4 linked regions of the Drosophila melanogaster genome follow. Changing the gene in region 1 together with any one later gene gives a genetic interaction. Each region holds a gene or a part of one and is shown in the gene's direction. Other genes may lie near its edges. The genes, in order: iPLA2-VIA, CG3740, pbl and lace.

Region 1 (6,500 bases):
ATTGATCAAAGAGGTAAAAGGTAAAAGAAAACAAAAAAAAGACCGCCAAATATACTCAAGCGTATTTGCCACTGAAAAATATTAAATTAACATCAAACGTATATTTCAAATACTATAATCATTCTTATCTATTTTTTCCACAGAAATAAGTGTGCCGTTTATAAGTACGCACCTGTTCGTAGAATATATACTTTTAAGGTTGAATATAATATATTTATATATATATATTGAATAGTTTTTCATTTGCTTTGCATGTGGAAAAGACGTCAATTCGATATAATCTCTCTTTCTGTCAGATGTATAATTAGGAAAGATAAGTAGTCATCCAATAAGTGTTTACTAGCTTGACCAGAATGTCTGTTATTATCAATTACAAAAGTTGATTGTAAAAGGTTCTTATCTCTGATTTTTCACATGCATTGGTATTCGTCTTATTTACATATAGTGCCAAAAATCTTTTCGCATCCAAATATTACCTACAGTTTCTTATCTCCTTTGGGAGATAATAAGAGGCTGAATGATCAGCATTGCAAAAAAATCGTATCAATATATGTACGTGTTATAAGCGATATCCCTCTATTTTCAGATACACAATGTAGAAAAACCAATGTCAAGGTGGTCTAACTATTATAATTTCAATTTCTACCCTGTCATTATAATCCAAATTGAAATTAATTAGAATGCAGAACAAATCTGGGCATATTTCTGAAGCTATCGTAGTAATTACTCACAAATGGTTACTTATAGGTTAGTGCGAAGTGCTCCAACTTACATAGCTGCGCTTGTGGCTCGAGGAGCTGGACTCGTAGCGCCCGCTGCTCGAGTTGTGGTGAGTGAACTTGTCCCGACTCCTGTTGTCGTAGTGGCTGTTGCCTCCTGCTCCTCCGCCGCTGTTGTTGTGGTTGTTGTAGCGATTGTTGTTGTTGTGATAGTTATTCTCGTAGCGGCCATTATTGGGTCGGTAATTGCCCTGGGTGCGAGTATTAACGTAGTTGCTGGAATTGCGATTATTGTAGTAGCCACCGCGAGTGGTGCCACCACCACGTGGAATGAATCCGCCGCGTCCACGCATCTTTAATTCCAATCTCTTCCTGTTTGCAGCACAAGGAAATACTGTAAGGTTGCGTTGAAAAGATTACAAAATTCGATCCGCATGGCAGACTATATACATGTATGCACAAATGCGTGCAAAATATACATAAGGACAGACTGAGCGTTCAGCGCAGCACCCCTTAAGTTTTTTTTTCTTTTCATGGATTATCTCTGCGCCGCCGGTGGCGTCGCTCGGTTTGAGAAAAAAAGAATCGATTTTCTGCCGGCCCGAGAATTTTTTTGCGATTTTACTGCAAATTGATCTAAGCCACTTACCTCTGCTCTAACACTATTCACTAATGGGCACAATGAAGCACTGCTTTTCTGTCTGTTTTTCAGTTTTAACTGAACGTTTAACTTCTGATTTTCACCTTTTCTATCAGCTACTTTTTTCGCTCGAAACAATTTTTTGTCTAGCAATGGCGAACAAAGTGAAGTGTGACCGTGCTCTGTGGAATCAGTGCTTAAAATCGATTGTTAAGACTTGGCTATATCGATTGTCAACAATGTGGCAATGCTATTTAGCTGAAATAACATTATTAATAACATAATAACATAATAACGAAATAAAAGAAAATTTCTTTGCTTTCTTCAAATATTCTCGAAAACTATGTAAATTTAATTTAATTTCTTAAACAACATTTCTTTAATGAAATCGAATTTGTATCATTTATTTGCAAGCCCCTACCATTGGGGGTTTGAACTCGACTAGAAAGTCTAGAAATATCGTTTGATGCAGTACCATCACTGATAAACGGTGACATCGCTAATAAAGCTGCAAAAAATACAGCTCAGTTCTTATTTTACATAGCAGAAATTTTAAATTGTTTTATACTGGAATTGTGCGATAAGGAAACCTGAAATCAGAGCAGTAAAATGTTCAATGGTTAGCTAATACTGTTGCCAATAAAAAAAATCGCAAACTGACCCACAGAACAATAAGCATTTTATGATTGTCACCATTGATTACGTCGGGCAGCAACGGATAGCGGGAAGGCACGAAAAAACGGGCAGCATTACTGCAATGTAGAGCCATCGGATGATCTGTTCCCTTCCCATTGGCCAAAGATGTGTACTATTGATTTCTTGGCAGCCCATCGAACCACTCGCTCATCCTCACCCACACCCGTGTAACTAACCAACTGGCCATTGTTTTTCTGTCAGGCTCACCGCATCCACATTAGCCAGCTCATCCGATCAGATTGGCCCAGTTCAAAGTACACATTCAGCATCCGCAGCAGCAAATTCCGCACCCTTGAGTCATGGCGTGGATGGCGTTAGGGGCACTAGCCTCCGGTTTCGGTATTCACCCCCCTTTCAATCATTACTGCTCTTCCTCCTCCTGTTCATGTTCATGTCGTGTCACCGTTTAGTAGACTAGTTGAGAATGTATTAATGTGTCTTATGACCAACGCATTCGCCTTATCTAATGACATTGCCTTTCAATTTTGTACGACTACAGTTCTACAGCGCCTGCTGGGTGTCGATCAGCCGGCCAATAAGGTCGTGGAAATTAAGAGCGAAGCGCTGGGGACACTTCAAGTCCTGGCCCGCGATGACGCCATGCTCCTCTTTGCACCGCCCTTCAACAGCAGCAATGAAAAACGAGCCGTCTATGAGATCATTTTGCAGCGACCCACCTCGGATTCCAATACCACATCCTTCAGTCTGTACCGGTCGCCGGTGCAGCAGGAAGCCGAGGAACGCTTCAATGCCTTTCTGCAAAGGCTGCCCGTTTTCGTCAGCATTGTGAAAGAGGTTTGAGAGAGGACTACAAAGCAATGCGAAGCAATGTATTTAACTCTATATTTTTCAGTACTACAATGTAAATGGGCTGCAGAAAGCTTGCGATGCCTTGGCTGATAATCCCTCCTGGACGCTGTCCCATTTGATTGCCTACTTCAATCTGGTGGACTACATTAGCAATCCCAAGATGCTCCAGTGCGTGGACCAAGCAGATGCCGCCACCCTAATGTCGCCCTTCCAGTTGGCCATCAAACAGGGTCACATGGAGATGGTGAAGGCTCTGCTGCCGCTGAGCAAGCTGGAACACTTGGATATAAACAGCAATTCGGTGTTTCATTACGCCGCCAGCACCACCAAAGAGATTATCAATGTAAGCCAGAAATCCATATATAGTTCAAACAAATTTTAAACTTTATTTTCCCAGCTTATCATCGATAAAAGCACGGTAAATCTGAATCATCTCAACTCCGATGGGTACACACCACTTCATGTCGCCTGCCTCGCCGACAAGCCAGAGAATGTGAAGGCACTGTTGCTGGCTGGGGCCAATGTCAATCTCAATGCCAAGGACATCCGCAAAGTGTACAAGACATCCGCACCGACCACGGTTTCCTCGTTTCTGCGCACCAATGTTAGCAAGCTGTACACACAGGACATGAAATATGGCGGCACTCCTCTGCACTGGTGTTCCTCCCGTGAAACCCTGCATGCGCTGATCATGGAGGGTTGTGATGTCAACGCCACGAACTTTGATGGACGGACAGCACTGCACGTGATGGTGGCCAGGAATCGGTTCGAGTGCGTTGTCACACTACTGGCCCACGATGCGGAGATCGATGTGCTGGACAAAGACGGAAATGCAGCTTTGCACATTGCCATTGAGAAGAAACTAGTGCCGATCGTCCAATGTCTGGTGGTCTTTGGGTGTGACATCAATCTGAAGAACAAGGATGGCAAAACGCCACGTCACATGGTTGGCAATGATGCTAGTGGCAATAAGGATGATGAAATCCTATACATTCTGCACTCTGTGGGGGCTAAGCGCTGCAAGGATACTGGTTCAAAGTGCCCGCCTGGTTGCAATGCCAAAGGTAACTACAACGGCATTCCGCCAGAGGCACCGGAATCCGTGGAGCAGCGCGAGCATATAGAGCACATGCTGGCCACCACCAGTCGACAAATGATGGGTGGTTTTTTGAACGCAGCGGCCAATGGAATATTGGAGAAGCAACAACCGGCACAGTATGTAAATCAACTATTCGTGAACTACAATTAAAATAGTCTTCTCTTATTCCAGAAAACCAGTCGTGGTCGATACGGAGAAAGAATTAAAAGGCCAAAGTATAATGGATGCCCTGCTTGGCATGTTTACAACCAAAGTGAATGCGGACGAGATGAAGAAGGAGAACTCGTCGGATAGTTTGGCCAGTGGCTCGCAAAAATCCGCTGTGTCTAGTCCGGAGCAGCTGCCTTCACCCACCTCGCCCATTGCCGCTGAAATAGGCGATAAACCCTACGGACGCGGACGTCTGCTCTGCTTGGATGGTGGTGGCATTCGTGGTCTAGTCCTGGTACAGATGCTACTCGAAATAGAAAAGCTTTCTCGCACTCCTATTATCCATATGTTCGACTGGATTGCCGGCACCAGTACTGGCGGAATTCTAGCTTTGGCGCTGGGTTGCGGCAAAACGATGCGTCAATGCATGGGCCTCTATTTGCGCATGAAGGAGCAGTGTTTTGTGGGCTCACGGCCCTATAACAGCGAGTTTTTCGAGTCCATTTTGAAGGACAATCTGGGCGAGTTTAACGTGATGACGGATATTAAGCACCCGAAGATCATGGTCACTGGTGTGATGGCGGATCGCAAGCCGGTCGATCTACATCTATTCCGCAACTATACGAGCGCCAGTGACATTTTGGGCATTGTGACTCCAATTAGTAAGTGAGATATCAACCAATTATCGAGATAGCTCTCTAATTTTATTTTAATCTTTTAGACAACCGAAGAATTCCTCCTCCTCAGCCTTCGGAACAATTGGTATGGCGTGCTGCTCGGGCTACTGGAGCTGCGCCCTCATATTTCCGCGCATTTGGTCGCTTTCTGGACGGCGGCTTGATTGCCAACAACCCGACTCTAGACGCCATGACCGAGATTCACGAGTACAATATGGCCTTGCGTAGCGCTGGACGCGAATCAGAGGCCATACCTGTATCCGTGGTGATGTCGCTGGGCACGGGTCATATTCCGGTGACTGAACTTAAGGACATTGATGTCTTCCGGCCGGAGAGCATCTGGGATACGGCCAAACTGGCCTACGGAATCTCTACCATTGGTAAGGCACCTTATCTATAATATACTCGTGTGCTTTCTTAATCAAATGCATATCCTTGCTAGGCAATCTGCTAGTGGACCAGGCCACCTGCTCCGATGGAAGAGTAGTGGACAGAGCTCGCGCCTGGTGCAGCACGATTGGCATACCCTACTTCAGGTTCAATCCTCAGCTGAGCGAGGACATCGCCATGGACGAAAAGGACGACCAAAAACTGATCAATATGCTGTGGCACACTAAGGCGTATATGCACGCCAATCGGAATAAGATAATCGAGATGATCAATTTCCTAAAATAGCATGCAAGACGGATTTAGACCGCATTTGCTGTAGAGATCTCTCATTCGAGGGATCCTTTCGATTCATGTCCGTGTACTTTAGACTCGTTTAACCCTCTTCGTTTTTATTAAGCACCTTTTCTGAGGTCTAAATCAGCTCACTCGCTGGGACTTCCACTCTCAATAGCACCGATATCCTCCCACCACTTGGCTACAAAACAGAATCTGTGTGATTATCCTTAATTTTTCCAATTCCGAGGCTTCATCTCCAGGATTAGCAAACGAAATACGCTTTGTATATTGTGTTATTGGACTTAAGAGGGTACCATATCAGCACATTAATTTCGAAAATCTTTTATTTAATGTATTATAATCGGCCATGTATTTTATTGTACGTAACCCTCCAATTGAGTCGTTTAATTGATAAAAACATTCCGTGCCTCTGTTAGAAAATGAATGTGTATGTAGTATGTCGAGCACGAATTTTGAATAAAACTTTTTAAGTGTTTAAACCTGTTTTTAATGAATTCCCATTAAAATAGTTGTAGTACTGGTCCAGAAGCTAACATACATTAAATTATAGATCTTGAGATTGCAGGTTATAAGATTAATTGGTTTAATTACTTAATGGGTTTAGTTGTTGAATACTAAATTTAACTTCATGGCAGAGAAATGAAAAGCTGAAAACATTAAAATATTTTTTTAAGACTACAATACTGGATGTTAAAAAATGTTATAATTGTTTTTTAAAATATTTTTATGTTTAAATATTTAGCCTACCAGGGCTGGCTAATCGCGATAGTGTCCTCGCCAGAAGTTCCATTCTTCCAATCGATAGCTAGCACACTAGACATATGTATGTATCGATAGGCCAAAACAAATACAAACAATACAGACGAGCCAAGAATTTTTGCTCTGCGTCCCAACACATAAAAATCCATAACAAAGTGAGTCAAAGTGTTTTAAAACGAGGACTACGAACGCAATAGATGAAGATAAACCATTGCAGATCAAGATTAATACGCTCAGGGACGGCAGGGTCACACCAATAACGG
Region 2 (3,312 bases), on another chromosome or scaffold:
GCAGTGCTTCAGATACTCGGGCTGTTCGGGAGCAGCCGGCGGAAGGGGTGCGGGCGAAGTGGTCGACGTGGTCGAGGTGGAGTGCGATGTGCTTGTGGATGTTGTGTCTGTCACAGATCCCGGATCGGACATGCTTTGCGTCTCGGCCAAACTTGATGCCGTCGTGGTTTCCCCAATGCCCACGTTATCAGTTGTTAGGATGGGAGCAGGTATTGCTGTTCCCTGCTCATCTTCCTTCAGCGGCGCATGGGGATGGGCATGGTGATGATGGCGAGCCTGTGGATGTGCGTGTGCATGTGGAGTAGACTCCTCGCCTAGTGCAGCCGGATCCGGTGTGTGTGCTATTTCTGGCCGCGCGCATGCGCCTGCTACAAGGAGCAGCAGGAGCAGGAGCCATGTGCCCTGCAACGACAACGACAATCAAAGGGCGCGTTAAAGCGAATCGAGTGGGGAAATGGGAAAAACGCCGTGTCGCACGTTGGACATACATATGCAAATATTTGCTACACCAGACGCGTTTGTTTGCAAATCGAATTAGACCGACGAGGGCTTGGCCTGGCTCGTCCTCCAATTGCCGTAATTAGGGTAAGTGAGGCACACCCTGTACGCATAAGTTGCTGGGCCTGCGGCTCTGGGAGTCGGGAGGGTCTTCGGTATCCAACTGGTTTCTAATTGTTTGCCCACTCGATTTAGCGTCTTGCGGGCCAACTGCCAACAACACTGCCATGCTAATTCGGCAATTAATTAACGAATCGTATGTGATAAAAGGGCAATAAAAAGATTAATTGTGTTAGGCAGCAATTGTGGGCGGGTCGGTGTCGGTTGGTGGCAAATTGTCGGCTTCGGCATGGAGTGGAAGTGGAAGGGGGCTATTTCCAGATCTTTGGCTGGTCAAAACAGCATAACAGTTTGGTATTACCATAGGCCAATAATAGGTTTGGTATGGAAAACATTTCCTTTTTGGCTTAAATGTTCCATAGCGTGTGAGGATACGAGGATTAACTAAAGATGGCCTCTGATTTCAAGGCAAATGCGCTTCTTTTCACAACTACAATATGAGAAATACCTATGCTGTATGAGTATAATAACTGGGTGTGGTATAAAATATAGAGCCATGGGTAGTATAACCTCACTAGCAGCACCCCTCCCTCGGAGCAATTTAGAGTGCTTTCGAGATTATAAACACAATATCAGTATCGGCATGCCCATGTCCATACCCCTACCCCTCCTGCTACAGGTACACCCATACACTAGCAGAGCTGCATGCGCATTGGACTTACGTGGGTGTACGCGAGCATGTCGCCTCCGAAATGAATTCCACTAGGTGCTCCCTGGCAGGTTTACTCCTCGACTAGGTGGCGCGGGAACGGAGCGGTCATCCACATCCGAGGAATCGCAATCATACGGAAGTGTTCACAATTTAAATGCTTTGCGCACATCCCAGTCCCAGCGGAGAGGAGCTACTTTCTGGGCGGTTCTGCAGGCTCGTTCGGTCCGCCAGGTGATCTGCCACAGATCCGTGCATGGGAAGAATCGGTCGGGTGTGATACGTAGGTGAAACACAAAAGTATCTCGACTCGAATTGATAAACTACGAACAAAACAAAATGCAAATGTTAAGTGCGCGCAGCGCAGCAGAGCACTCGCTGTTAAGTCTGATGTTAAATGCTCTGTTCGCCGCGGGCAATCGACTTATCGATACAGTGACATCGTTTGCACTGCGATTCGATAGTTGGCAAACGTAATCCGTTGAATCAATTTATATAATAAACACATATATATTTAATTTATTGTTCATCTTTAACTTAGCAACAGGACAGTAATAACCTATAGGATTAATATAAGAAATTTAATGTATGACCCATAACAGGAATGGGTTAACACATAAGGGTTAAGGCCATATATCGATATAAACGTCGATTGTGACCGCCGTTTGCGCATCTCTGAATCTGGCGCTCACAAGTTTAATCAAGTTGCTGTTTTTTAAGTCAAATATAAGCTTTTTAATAGTTCCCTTCAAGCGGATTCCGTGAAATTGTTTATGTTGTCGAGTAGCAAGTTGGAGAATTCAAGACCAACACTAAAAGGCAGGATACAAACGGAACGGGTGGCGTAATCGGAAACGTCATACTGCCGCACGGAACAAAGTCTAAACAGGAAATACTAGCATAGCGTTGCGAAATTCGGGCCAACTCCACGTAGCCTAAATATGCCCATAGATACGCGCGAGTTGATGGAGGCGATAGCCATCGTAGCGGACGAGCGCAACGTCCGCGTCGCCGTCAAGCAGTCCGGCAAGGGAGCGGCAATCTGCGCCGCCTGCTCCTTTGCGGGTGGCATGCTCCTGGGCCCCGTTGGGCTGGCGGTTGGCGGGGCCGCCGGCGGAATCGCCGCCTACAAGATGACAAGCGGTAAGCGGAGGAGAACTCCCGTACTCAGTCTCACTACATTTCCACTTCCCTCCTCCCGAACAGGCACATTCCGTCCGCTGGGCGAAGTCATCCTAAACGACCTGACGGACGCACAGCGAGAGCAGCTGGTGCAGCACGTAACCATGGCCGTGGCCGACATACATCCCACCGACGTGGTGATGCTGCTGCCGCTGATTGTCCAGAACGCCTCCATTCAGCAGGCTGTGCTTAACACTGTCATGTCATTCGTGACCAACGAGTTGCGCATGCAGATTGTGGACTGACCTGCTCTGCGGGCAAGTGGGCGATGGCCAGGTAACTGTAGAATTTGGACGGCTATCTCAGTCGAAACCTTTGTGATCAGTGTAGGTTTATTTATAATAATAAATACTTTATATGTACATAAATATTTGGGTCTGAACGACGGTGGTAGCGAACTACTCCCACTCGACATTCACCTGCTCCCAGTCGTCAACGAACGGCTGGTCGATGGTGCTGATTAGCAGCCCGCAGAATAGGCAATCCGCAGCAAGAATATCCTCGATCTCGGTTTTCAGTGCCGCCCTCTTCCGCTGCAGCTCCATCGCCTGCTGTTTGCTCAGGGCACCTGACTGCGGTTGCGCCTGCGTTTGCACCTCCGCCTCCAGTTGCTGCTTTAGAGTGCCGAGGCGCCGACATTGCTCCTTGGTGAGCAAGGGCACAACGTGCTTCTCCAGGCAATCGCTGTGGAACTTGTGGCCGCAGATGAAGATGAAAAAGGGCTTAACCAGCAGCATCATCTCGCAAATTTCGCAAGTATCCTGAGACTCAACGGTGAGGCTGTGCTGGCGCAATTGCTGCAACTCGGCGGTGACGCGATCGGTTTGCTCCGTAGTCTCGGCCATTTCACGCTGCAGCTCCTG
Region 3 (4,720 bases), 2.0 Mb from region 1:
GTGGTGGTGCTGCCCGGTGGCCCACCTCCTCCCCCGCTTCCGCTCGCTCCCGACACATTGGGCTTGGATTCGCTGGAGGTGTGCACACTGGGGCTCTGTGATTTGTCCTGCTCCTCGTGACCATTTGGCGTTTCTTCGTAGCGAACGTAGGGTTCGAAGCTGTTGTTGATTTGCACAGATCCGCGATGCAGATTGTTGGACTCGGCCTCGAAGAGAATCTCGTTGATGAAACGTTCGGCCAGAAGACGCTGCTCGCGCGGCAGTCGCTTCAGTTTGTGCGTCCAGGTGCGGGCGATGGACTCCTCCTCCGGATATGTGCCAGCCAAATACTCGCAGGCTATGTTGAGTAGTTCGTCGGTGTTGTGGGCGGTGCCTGTTGCCCCAGGACCGCCAGTAGATCCGGCTCCTGCTCCCGTACATGGCGGCGTTTGCCTGGCTCGCTTGCTGCTCCCATAATCCACATGGTTGGTTGCTGGCGGTGGCGGTGGCGGAGCTCCAAATGATTTGTGAAACATCTCGGAAATGTTGGGCGTCTGACCACCAGCGCGTGGTGCTGGATAATGGAGGGCTGCTCCCTGGCTCTCCAGAAACGCACTCGGGCAATTGCTGCTCTCACCGAAGGCGAAGTTGGGCTCGTTCTTAAAGGCGGGATTGACGGCTAGAAACTTCTCCGAGTTGCGCAGAAAGTCCAGCTCCTGAAAGGTCCAGCAGCGTGGACTGTGGAGGCTGCCCGATCGCAGGGCACTCTCCACCACCTTCAGCTCCTTGCGGTAGTTCGTGCGCAGTGTGTTGATCTTCTTTTTCACATCCTCCACGGTGGCGTCCCGCTTGAGATAATGGTATATGGGCACCAGGCGCAAATAGGCCTCCGCCCGCTTCTCCCGATTGGTGTAGTCCCGCAGCGATGTGTCCCACAGCACGGGCAGATCCCTGTATGTCTGGATGAAGGCGCGCAGATAGTGTCGGTTCTCCTCCGCTCCCGACATCACCTTCAATCCGTGCGGCGGCGTTTGTGGCAGCATTTTGCGCGGATCTCTGGATTACCCTCTGCCAATCCACGCCAGCTGCAGTCCTTGGCTATCTTCACCACTTCAGCGAATCCTGGATGGACCTATTGACCAACTGTCAATGCGAACGAACTGTGTTTGTTGTAATTGCGCGTTTGACAGATTGTTTGCCATATTGACGTAATGGTTGTGTGCGAGTGTGCGTGAGCGTGAAGATACAGCAACAAGTGCGGACGTAGTGGCAATGCTTGTCACTGGTATCGATACTTCGCCAGCAGTATTTATCGGTCAACTCGTTGTTATCAAGCGCGTATATTTAAACAAAGTAGCACAAAAGCAAGTAGTTTTAGGCATTCATTTATTAAATATATGAGCAAGCATACATAAAATTAACTGTAGCTTATATAGCTTGCATGAAAAATATGATTGGAGGCTACAACTGCAACAATAGTAGGATATTACCAAATTTAATTTATCGACAGGCCAAAAACAACTTAAACGAAGAAAACAGTTCTAATTGATTGTTAATATAGTGCAGCTTACAACTATTTTATAGCCATAGTCGTTTAATTTAGTTATATAGCATTACAGGGAATACCTTCAACCCCTTGCAAGTGTGACCATTATTTAGCGCCGATTGATTCTGGTATTTCGTTCATCACATTTGCGCGTATTTCTTGGCGCCCCCGCGACGGTTACACTGCGCGGCACACTACAGCGAAAAAAATTCGAAACAGACGCGTTTGTCCGTTGAGTTTTGATTTGTGATTCCGACGCGCAGCCGTTGAGCGCAATTCGCTTACATTGTTGATCATTTTGTTGGTTAAATTGCTAAAGCAGGTACGCGGTATCGCTAACAAGAGGACGAAGAACCGGGCGACGCTGCCTATGCGCGTCTGTGTGTGTGTGTTTTCGTGAGCCGCCGCTTTTTAATTAAATAATAAATAAATTGTAACAAAAAGTAGAAAAACAAACAAACATGGAAATGATGCGCGCTAAATGCATGAAAACAGCGTCCAGTTAATGAAAGTAAACGAATCGAGTACAAACGAATTATTTGTCTCCTTGTGCGTTCGTTCTATTGTGTTTCGAGTTCTGTTGGTGTGTGTTTTTGTGTATGTTCCACGAGTTGTTCGCCTTAAAAAAGTAACTGCAGAAGATCCATGGAAATGGAGACCATTGAAGAGCAATCGAAGTGCGGTGAGTACTGAAAGAGGGCGCGGGGCGTGGCAGCTCCAAATGGCCGGCGAATTTATCATTTTTCAATGTCGCCCAAAGGGGTTGGGTACGGGGTAAAACCACATTCGGGGCCAAAAGATCCTCATAAAAAATGTCGCTGCCAGCAAATGCAAAAAAATAAAATGAAATAACAACGACTATAAGTACATCTTTGTGTGTATTTGTGTGACTAAAAAAGCAACGGCATCGTGTCGCAGATATTTTAATCTTTTTTTCTGAATTTATTTCGGTGTAGAAAATATTTATCGCATAAATGCGAAATGCCTCCCTCTCTTCATCATCGTTTCCCCTCACTCTCCCTCTCTTCGGCGACACTGTACCGACAGCAAGAACAACAACAACAACTGAGGCGCCCTAACTGTTGTGAGAGTAAAAAGAAAGGACAAGCAACAACAATTTAAGCGATCAGTTCCTGTTATCATTGATGCGAATTCAGCCGTTTTTAGCCATGGAGTTGTAGCTATAAAAGAAAGTAAACAAGAAACTATCGAATCTTAAAAAAGTAAACAATTAACAAAAGATAGATTTAGGTATTGATGGGAAAGAGAAATCTCTGCTATAAAGTTTTTATTATATTTTTAACATTTTTATTTAACTAAAAACAAAATTGTTTCTAGGCAATTAAAATTGTTATACTTTCCATAAGCCTACGATTTCCGCAACGAGAACGTGTAACTGCAAATACCACACAATTTCAAAGGTTATTGCCTTAAAAAATACGTGTAAATATGTTGTACGGCAGGAATTTTTCCAGCGCGCGGCATAAACAAATAAAATTATCATTTAATGTATTTTGTGTCCGAATTTGAGGCGCAAATAAAGCATATATCAATTAAAAGTTTATAATTTGGTTAGGTTATAAAATCAATTCTCCTTTGATGTTATTTAGCCTTTAAATGTGCATATGTATGTAGATACTTTTGAAATCAACTCTACATGATATCTTTGTGTACTTATTCTGTCTGCTCCGCTCTAATACTTGCCGCCAGGTAAGAAGAAGAATTTATCCTGCTCGACAGGCTCTTCGCTCCTTCTACTTCCTCCTCTTGTTGCACAGAATCCTTGATCCTTGCTTTCCGGGTGGTTTACCTACCCCGCTGGCCGATTACCTCGTATTCCATTTACACATGTTGACAGGGCGCACATGCCCATACAACTATGACTATATAGCCTGTAGTCCGTGTTTTCCGTCCCTCAATGCTAATGGCATTTTACATGGCCCGCAGACCTTCGGAATCTGCTCTTCGCCTACGTCAAGGCTTCCGCGGGATACGTACGTAATTTTATTACAAGATTTTTCTTTGATGACTCTGCTCTGCTATTTGACAAAATCCGCTACACAGCGAGAAATTGGTTGATTTTATGTATAATTTAAACTTGCAGGTAAACTGAGGTTTTTTTTTCTAGAGATTTAAAGTAATTTTCTAAATATTATTCCAAAATTACAAAACGTCTTTCGTTTAAAACACAATTTTTTTACATAAAATATTTTATTTTTGGATTTCATTGTCACTTAAAAATGCTTTTAGGTCTAGGTCAAAAGCAATAGACACGAGAATTTAAGTAAAAATCAAAAATTGTCATTTTGGGTTAACTATGATTTCGCATAGGACATTTTTCGCTGCGTGGCTGAATGCCCAGAAACCCACACACACAGCCCTCTTCTTCCGATGGCTTTTCATTTCTCAGATGCCACTCAATTAGTTTTTCATCGTTTCCCTGGCAGGCAGCCAGCGAGGAAAAGTAGAAAATAAATAACAACAGCGGATTTTGTTCGGGCAAAAAGGAAGGAAATTCCCGAATGGCGAAAAATGGTGGCCGCCACCTGTGAGTCTCGGCACTTTCTCACACTCGGAAATTTTGCTTACCATTTTGCGTTTACCTTTTCTCCTGACCTCACTTACATACCTTCTTCTTCTTGTTTGAACCGAAGAAGCTACCACCTGTGGCCATGCAAAATGCGATTTCAGGTGTTCCCTCAGCCTGAGCTCGTCTTGCATTTAGTTATGTTTTAGAGCCCGATCCTTGAGGATCTGCGAACAAAATGTTACACTTACCGCTGGTGCAGTTCAACTTTGGCAACCATTTGGGCAAAAAGAGCAACAAAGTGGTCACGGTTCAGCGACAATCCGCCTCCTATTTCACATATGCCGCCGACGAGGAGGTCAAACAGGCGAAGCTTCGACAGGCCGCCTTGTGTCAGGTGTACGAGGATTTTACAGGTATTTCAAGATTCCCAGATAAACCCCTTCAGGTACTCGTTTCCAAGGGTTGAATATGCGCAAAAGCAAGAGCAACATATTCGCCAGAGGGAAACTTAAGTAGGGTAAAGTCTTTCGTGAATCATCCATCCATTCAGCCAGACCATCGACAAACACCTGGGAAAGGTGCAGGAACAGTAAAAATAACTATGTATTTCATAAATAAATATATTACTTTCCGAGGAAAGCATTCGATGTCATGTTAAGGTGATA
Region 4 (7,614 bases), on another chromosome or scaffold:
TCAAAAGCGATTTGCACCATCAGATCATCGAGATAAGCATTAAGAATCTTTGACAGAAATTGGCTAGCTTTGAGATACAATGCATTTTTCTCCGTTTTAGGGATTAACTTGGCATAGAAGTGCAAAATATAGAAATAAGTAATAATGATCGAAGTCAACAAATTCATGAAATTTTCAACTTTACATTATATACTTTCAATGTCATGAGATTGTCAAGTGGAATATAAAAATCCTATTTAATTTATTATACAATATTTACATGTTACTAAAATAGACCAAGTAATAATATATGCTATATTTTAGAATATCCTCATCCTTGATTAAGTGCTTTGAGAAATAAATGAAACCTTCTCGAAAAGGGTATGTGATTTTCCCTCTGGCATCGGCGGAAACTTTTGCCTTCAGGGTGCCGCTGGCGTCGATCGGCAATCGCTGGATGAAAACCCGACGTGACCCGCTTTCTGGGCCTGCGGCTCAAAGGGCTTCAGCCCTGACAGTAGCACCCACTTTGGTGACTTGGACTCAGATTGGGTTTCAAATTTTTGGCATCTCCGGCTACGACAATTTGGCAATCATTTGCATATCGATGTAGCGATCGGTGCAGCTTTTGCCGGGGAACGTGTTGGCATTTTGCAGAGGCTACATCTGCCACAAAAGCTTCCAACTCAATTAGAAGCCTTAGCGTCGTTTTCATGTTGTTTACCCACAGTTGGGATGCGGCGCATACTGAAAACGAAACTGAAATGCGAGTTCAATGTTTTGATTTTGAAATGGGCTCTGAAAATCCTTGAAAAGTGTCATCGGCCGGCCACAGCAGATTAATTTACAAAATAGTCGAAATTCTTCCGCAATAAAATGTGAAGAAAAACAAAAGCCTGCGGTATGGAGATGATCTATTTATGAGGCGAAATCCACTGCCCGAGACGTGTCTCCTTGCGGCAAAGAGTCAACGCACTTCGCAGCTCATGAATTTTACTACAATTGCCGCTTTACGCACTTTTATCTGAATATCTGTTGCCTGAAATTCTGTTTTCCTCCTTTTCTTTGTGCATTTTAATCTAATTTATTATTGCCGGCGAGGCGGAATTTTTCTTTGCGTAAGTTTTGGACCGATTTTAATGCTCAAGGGGAAAATGCTTGACGTGTTAAGTCTGAAAACTTGTGGTTTCTAATATGTAATGGAATATAAAACATTATTTTTTTTAGCTTATCTCCCACTTAAATGATACATTGTTGAACCCTCGTATCATATATAAATTTATATATTTTCATTAAATTGCTGTCAAATAATTTAAGTTGAACCCCTATGTGACTAAAATAGAAACCATTTTAGTTTAAATAAATTTCTTTGAAAATCTAATTAATACAAAAATCTACTTCTCTTTTGCGACATCTGGCGCTCAGAAAGTATACTAAACAGCACTGTGGCTTGAACTGCTTGCATGGTGGAGGTATTCGCTAGGAGCTGGCAGTACTAAAAGCAGAGAACACAACCGGAAGCGTTATTCCACAAAATGTGGCCTTTTAAATTATATGTGAAAATACGATAAGTACCTTAAAATACCGAAGGCGCGCAGTTTTCAGTATAACAGCTGGCCGAGTAACTGGCCACACCATTCCAATTAGAAAGAAACCTATTTAAGCAAAACGCATCGATCTCTCCGTAATTTTTTGTCCGCTGAGTAATCGGAAATCGGCAACGGAATAATGGGCAATTTCGACGGCGATTCTGGAACGGTTTTCGAGCAGAGCTATGCGACGACCAACGGAAACGGAAAGGTGCCGAATGGCAATGGGGCGGCAGATCTCAGTGCCCCGGAAAAACAGGAACTTCTCCGGAAGTTCTCGGCACCCGCGTACACTGAAATTCGCACGCGACGCTGCCAGCCGAAGCCCGCAAACGACGCCCAGGTGAGCCAGGCATTTTCGCTCAGTGTGCGGGGTGAAACGCGAGTTAAACACTTGGACGAAACGAAAATAACGAGCTAAAAGGCCATAAAAATTGGCCAAAAATGTGGTTCCATAGCTGGTTCCATTCACCCTCTCGCTCGCTCTTCCAGCCGGCGAATTATTGATTTTGTGTGAGAGCGAGGGAGCGCGCATAAGAGAGAGGGAGAGAGAGTGAGAGTGAAGGCGTGCGTCAGCTGGAGAATTTCGGCCCAATTTTTGCTGCCCTTTTTGGCGATTTTCCTCCGCTTTTCCCGCTTCTGGGTCATCGGGCAGCCACAGCTGTTTTCCCTCCACTGCAGTGTTTTCCTCGCGTGTTTTCCTTTTCGCCGCGAGTGCTGACCATTTGGCGTATTTTGGCTACTTCCGGATGATAGAAACTATTAGAACTCTGCGGAAATATCCTATCATCATATACGATCAGAGAGTTATTTCATAAATTGTGATCATGAAAGGCAATTTGTAGTGTTGGAAATTAAAGTATTGGGCAATATTATTTCACTTTCATTATTATAATTTTAAGTAGTCTATACATTCCTCTGAGATAGCTATCTTACAATTGACTAAGCCCTAAGATAAGAACATCAGCATGTTAAAGTAACTTAGATTTCAGAAATTTCATAATACCTATTTTAGATGTGCGTTAAACTGTTTGGTACGCTAGTCCATTTTACCACATGCACTCTCTAATCTAGCCATTGTCTCTTCTTCGGCACTCCTGCACTCATTCGAAATTTTCCTAGTGACTGGAGTACGACCCCAAAGCAAACACACACATAAGTACGTAGTTTGGGTGCACAATGTGTGTGGGGAGAGCGGCACAATGCTGGTCTGGTCATAATATTGTCATGCCACGCCATGCCCGGCTCGCCTTATCAGGCCCATTCCACCAGTCTTTTACGTAAAGCCTCGCAGAATGCGATTCGCTGGTGAATCACAATGCTCCGCAATCTCCGAAGGCAGCGGTTTTGGGTGGGCGTTGATTTGTCGGTGATAAGAGTTTTGTTTTAAAATTCATGGACTCTCCCTGCGTCTGGGCTGCCAAAGAATAACTGTTGGCGGGTATACTTAACCGATTATCATATTTTTTATTATTCATAACTTTTTAAAAAGATAAGATAAACATATTATAACATTACATTCATTGGGTAATTCCGATACAATTCGATCTTTGGGGAGTGAGCAATTGTTAGTTTTCTTTTAAGTACCTAAAGATTTCATTATTGGTAGCTTTGTATTTCTTTTTTTCGGAAAGTAATACAATGGTTTACATAAAATTTATTTAATGAAATAGTTCCGTACCATGGCGACAACTTATTGAAATCATTCAGCTTGATTTAATGGCAACTAAAGACCTTTTCAAATTTTTAATCACACGAAAATAATGTTAGCGCGTGCAAGTCTCATATCTCCAATATCAACGGATAGAAAACTTTTATCAGCTCGGCAAGATTACAGTATGCATGATTTCAAAGGTAAAGGCTTAAATAAAAAAGAAATACTTAAGAATATGAAATTGCCAAAGCAATTATCTACTGACTCACAGCTAATACTTCTTGGAATCCCCACAAAATCGGTTAGAACTTGGCGTGCGCTGGTCGATTGTCAGTCGTTATCTTGGACTCCATGGATCCCCAACATATGGAAGTCATTATCTGGATCCCACACCATGCTCCCTACTTAGCTGTCCTTCTGTACGCGACCCATAGCGTAATTAGTATTACACTTTTTCTATTTATTTATTTATGTCGGTTTCGATTTTGATCTTTCTACGGTAGCTTCGAGCTCGTCTATATACCCTAACACTGGGACTCCATTAAATAACTAGGCATCGCGTAACCCACTTGACTTTTCGCTCCCCGCACTCCGTCTCATCGTATTTAGTAAACAAGCCCGGTGGCAAATGATAATAAACACGAAATATTATTGTCGCCGACTCGTTATTGTTATACGATTAAGCTGACGTTCAACTATATATATTTTTCGGAATATATATCTGCAGTTTGTGTTGCTCAGTTAATGAGATATATATATGTCTCGTATCGGATCCTTTGGCCAGCAAAATCAATAAGCAAATGATATATACACTTAAATAAGTACGTTAATTATAACGCTCTATTTGTTAGCTGGTGAGGTTGAAGTGTGCCAAGTTGGGCACACAAATACTATATACATTTATGGCTTCCCCTGTATGATTTTTGTGTCTGTCTCTTTTTGTGTGACTTCATGTCGAACTCGGCTCATGTGAGCGGTGGAGCAAATTGTTCAGCAGTTATCGTGTGATTGTATTTATATATGTACATACGTACCTTGCATATATGGATCTTTTAGTTAAATGTTAATTGACTGATGAATTGACTGAACGCATAGAAAGGGCAAGCAAGTGAGAATGTAGAATTTTTCATTTTTTTATAAAAGCGTTTACGCATGAGAACTATAAGTTTTGATATACATACTCGTATAAATGGGTATTACTGTGCTGATCCCTTTGAAGCGAACATGTTTACAATCTGTCTTACAATTTCCCATCTAGCCCGTCTAACAATATTGATTATTTGCTCTTTGATGAGTGATTTTCAATGGAAATTATGAAGATTCACAGTGATACCAATGATAGCGATAACCAGCCAATAATCGTTCCTCTCCCCTCTTACAGAGTCCCAGCTCGATCAACTACCATCCGGAAAAGAAGTCGATCCCCAATGGGCATGCCTCCATTCTGGATCAGGAGTCCAAGCCCAACCAGGCAGAGGGCAAACTTTCGCCGGAGCTGGAGCACTTCCAGAAAACCTCCTTTGAGGAGGTGCCTTTGCACACGGCCTGCCTTACGTATTTGGGATTCTATCTACTGATGATCCTGGGCTACATCAACCAGTTGCTCTTCGTGCCCAAAGTGGCCACCGAGAAGGGTCGGGATGGCTATGTAGCCCTCTACGATGCCTTCGAAAGCTTCTACTCGAGGTACGTTTACAGGAGAATCAAGGATTGCTGGAACCGACCCATCTGCAGTGTTCCGGGAGACGAACTCACTCTAAAGGATCGCGTAACCGATGATTATGGATGGAGTTTCAAGTTCACTGGAACGGAGACACGTTGCTTAAATCTGGGATCCTACAATTACCTGGGATTTGCCGCCGCTACTGGACAGTGTGCTGATGATTCAGAGGAAAGTGCTCGGAGCTCTGGACTGGCATACTGCAGCTCCCGTTGTGAGCTTGGTGACAACGAGCAGCTGCAAGAGCTGGAGGCTCTAACTGCCAGATACTTTGGCGTGGAGGATGCCATTGTCTTTGGAATGGGTTTCGCCACAAATGCGTTGAACCTTCCCTCACTGCTGGGACCCAACAGTCTTGTGATTAGTGACGAAAAGAATCACGCCTCCATCATTTTGGGACTGCGTTTGTCCGGGGCCACCACCAAGGTCTTTAAGCACAACAACATGCGCGATCTGGAGCGCGTCCTCCGTCAGGGTGTGTGCTATGGAAATCCCAAAAAAGGTGGTCAGCCATGGGACAAGGTTATGATCTTGGTCGAGGGCATCTTCAGCATGGAGGGGTCCATAGTCCGTTTGCCCGAGGTTATTGCTCTGAAAAAGAAATACAAAGCATACTTGTATTTGGATGAAGCTCACAGCGTGGGAGCCATGGGTTCCCGTGGACGAGGAGTTACAGATTATTTTAATGTGGATCCGAAGGAGGTGGACATTCTGATGGGCACCTTCACCAAAAGTTTTGGCAGTGCTGGAGGCTATCTCGCTGGATCCAAGGTATGCTTGAGTGGCTACACTTTCGCATATTCCTCACTTATCAATAATCTTTTATCCTCCCCAGAAACTGATTGACTTTCTCCGCACCAACAGCCACGCCCATTGTTATGCTGCTTCGATCTCGCCACCCATCGCACAGCAAATCCTTACCTCCATGAAGACCATTATGGGTGAAGATGGCACTGACATTGGACGCAAGAAGATCCACCAGCTGGCCAGGAACACACGTTACTTCCGCCGACGTCTGGCTCAGCTGGGAGTGATCACATACGGTCACGAGGACTCCCCAGTCGTGCCCATGCTGGTGTACCTGTTTTCCAAGATTGGGTAAGAATGGGGTCATAAAACCAAAATAACTTTTGTCATTAGATTGTGCGTGGAGGAGCATTTCATTTTTTAAAAGATCAAACGGGAAAAAACTTCAATTATCCTGTGGAGTCTCTTTTTACTAAACTGCATTTTCTCTTTGTAGCGCTGTGGTTCGCACCTTGACGACTCGCCACATTGCCGCGGTGGGAGCTGGATTCCCGGCCACACCCATCATGGAAGGACGCATCCGATTCTGCCTTTCAGCCGCCCACACCAAGGAGCAGCTGGACTTTGCCCTGGAGGCGATAGACGAGATTGCCGATGATCTGGGCCTAAAGTATTCTCGCAAGCCACGCGATCCGAATCCCGTCATTTACTAGAATCACACGCACACACATAGAAGTTAAGCTTGGGGAAATGGTAACCTCCCCGATTGGTAAACCAAAACTACAACACAGTCCAGATAGTGCTAAATCAATCACGAACGGTGGCTTACATTGACCAAGTTTCAGTTGCACTGGGCTTCTATTTATGACTAATTCTCTGGTTATATGCCTTAAAAGGGAAGATCACTACAGCAACAGAAACAAAACACTACAGCACATAGCTTAAATGATAAAATATTATTAATTATTTAGCATTTACCTCTACGTAGTTGTTATTGTATATGTAAAATCCAATCGTCTTCTTTGGTCGGCTGCTGCATTTTAAGTATTTATAGAAGAGAAAATGACAGCGCAATGTATTGGGCAAATCAGGGTTTGGTTACTTTTATAGCTAAGCTAAGGGAAGCCCCTTTTTCGTGGGAAAGCCTCGAGCACCTCGCTTCTACCAATTAAGCATACTAAGCTGAGCCAAATGTAACGTCTAAAGAGTCAGCGATACAATTGTAAATCACTATTTGGGTAAGTCTTCGGGGGACCCAAAAATTGGGTCAACTTTAGGGCATTGTCAGGAAATATATATGTATAATAATTATGTATTATTGATCTTATTTTTCCACCAAAAAAATAAAGAAATTGTTGCTTTATCTAATAAACTATATTGGAATAGCTTACTGTAAAAGTATTCACTGTACGGGATTCTTAAGTCTACTAGTGTAAATATTTATTTAAAATATATAAAACTTGGCGGGCAGATGAATCTTAAAGTCGAAAAATGTTTTGCCTTGTATTTTACATAAATTTTGACACAACTTATGCGACCTCTACAGTTAATTTACAGAAGTTGGATACTCGACGCAAATATAAAACACATATGTAGAGAATCCGCTAAGTCTAGGGCCTTAGTTCTTATTTTTGAGAAAATAAGAAGTACAGTGGCCATTAATTAAATAAAGCTACTTCTTGAACCATTTTTAATTAAGTAAATGCCTGACTTTTAAGCGATAATTAGAGATTAGCGATATCAATTAAATCGATATTGATAATATGTTATTTTAGACGATTTGGAAGTAAAATAAATAAAATTTGTTTCAGTATCATTTTGGTTGCACTGCCTCCTTTCTTTAATTTAAAATACATAAACTCCATTTGCAAGGGGTCAAGTTAATTTAAGTTTATGTAATAGGAATAGCAATCAATTGACAGTTC

Evidence for each region.
Region 2: of iPLA2-VIA (region 1) and CG3740, changing one suppresses a phenotype caused by changing the other (phenotypic suppression), as found in Drosophila melanogaster (one study listed by BioGRID).
Region 3: of iPLA2-VIA (region 1) and pbl, changing one suppresses a phenotype caused by changing the other (phenotypic suppression), as found in Drosophila melanogaster (one study listed by BioGRID).
Region 4: of iPLA2-VIA (region 1) and lace, changing one suppresses a phenotype caused by changing the other (phenotypic suppression), as found in Drosophila melanogaster (one study listed by BioGRID).

The regions. Positions count from the first base shown.
Region 1 is NT_037436.4:9,859,671-9,866,170, reverse strand, and holds iPLA2-VIA (calcium-independent phospholipase A2 VIA), read left to right. Parts: upstream 1-1,821; 5' UTR 1,822-1,968; coding exon of another isoform or gene 1,969-1,978; exon of another isoform or gene 1,979-2,071; 5' UTR 2,072-2,354; coding exon 2,355-2,394; intron 2,395-2,554; coding exon 2,555-2,850; intron 2,851-2,908; coding exon 2,909-3,208; intron 3,209-3,262; coding exon 3,263-4,080; intron 4,081-4,135; coding exon 4,136-4,776; intron 4,777-4,835; coding exon 4,836-5,171; intron 5,172-5,233; coding exon 5,234-5,466; 3' UTR 5,467-5,954; downstream 5,955-6,500. Other genes in the region: Ciz1 zinc finger protein, read right to left, coding at 773-1,072.
Region 2 is NC_004354.4:1,667,906-1,671,217, reverse strand, and holds CG3740 (uncharacterized protein), read left to right. Parts: upstream 1-1,920; 5' UTR 1,921-2,208; coding exon 2,209-2,410; intron 2,411-2,429; exon of another isoform or gene 2,430-2,473; coding exon 2,474-2,694; 3' UTR 2,695-2,812; downstream 2,813-3,312. Other genes in the region: hfw (halfway), read right to left, coding at 1-402, 1,281-1,298; dor (deep orange), read right to left, coding at 2,848-3,312.
Region 3 is NT_037436.4:7,908,909-7,913,628, reverse strand, and holds the start of pbl (pebble), read left to right. Parts: upstream 1-1,674; 5' UTR 1,675-2,170; coding exon 2,171-2,207; intron 2,208-4,290; coding exon of another isoform or gene 4,291-4,468; intron 4,469-4,720. Other genes in the region: CG8281 (uncharacterized protein), read right to left, coding at 1-1,022.
Region 4 is NT_033779.5:15,497,514-15,505,127, forward strand, and holds lace (lace), read left to right. Parts: upstream 1-1,613; 5' UTR 1,614-1,707; coding exon 1,708-1,911; intron 1,912-4,603; coding exon 4,604-5,713; intron 5,714-5,777; coding exon 5,778-6,040; intron 6,041-6,185; coding exon 6,186-6,402; 3' UTR 6,403-7,505; downstream 7,506-7,614.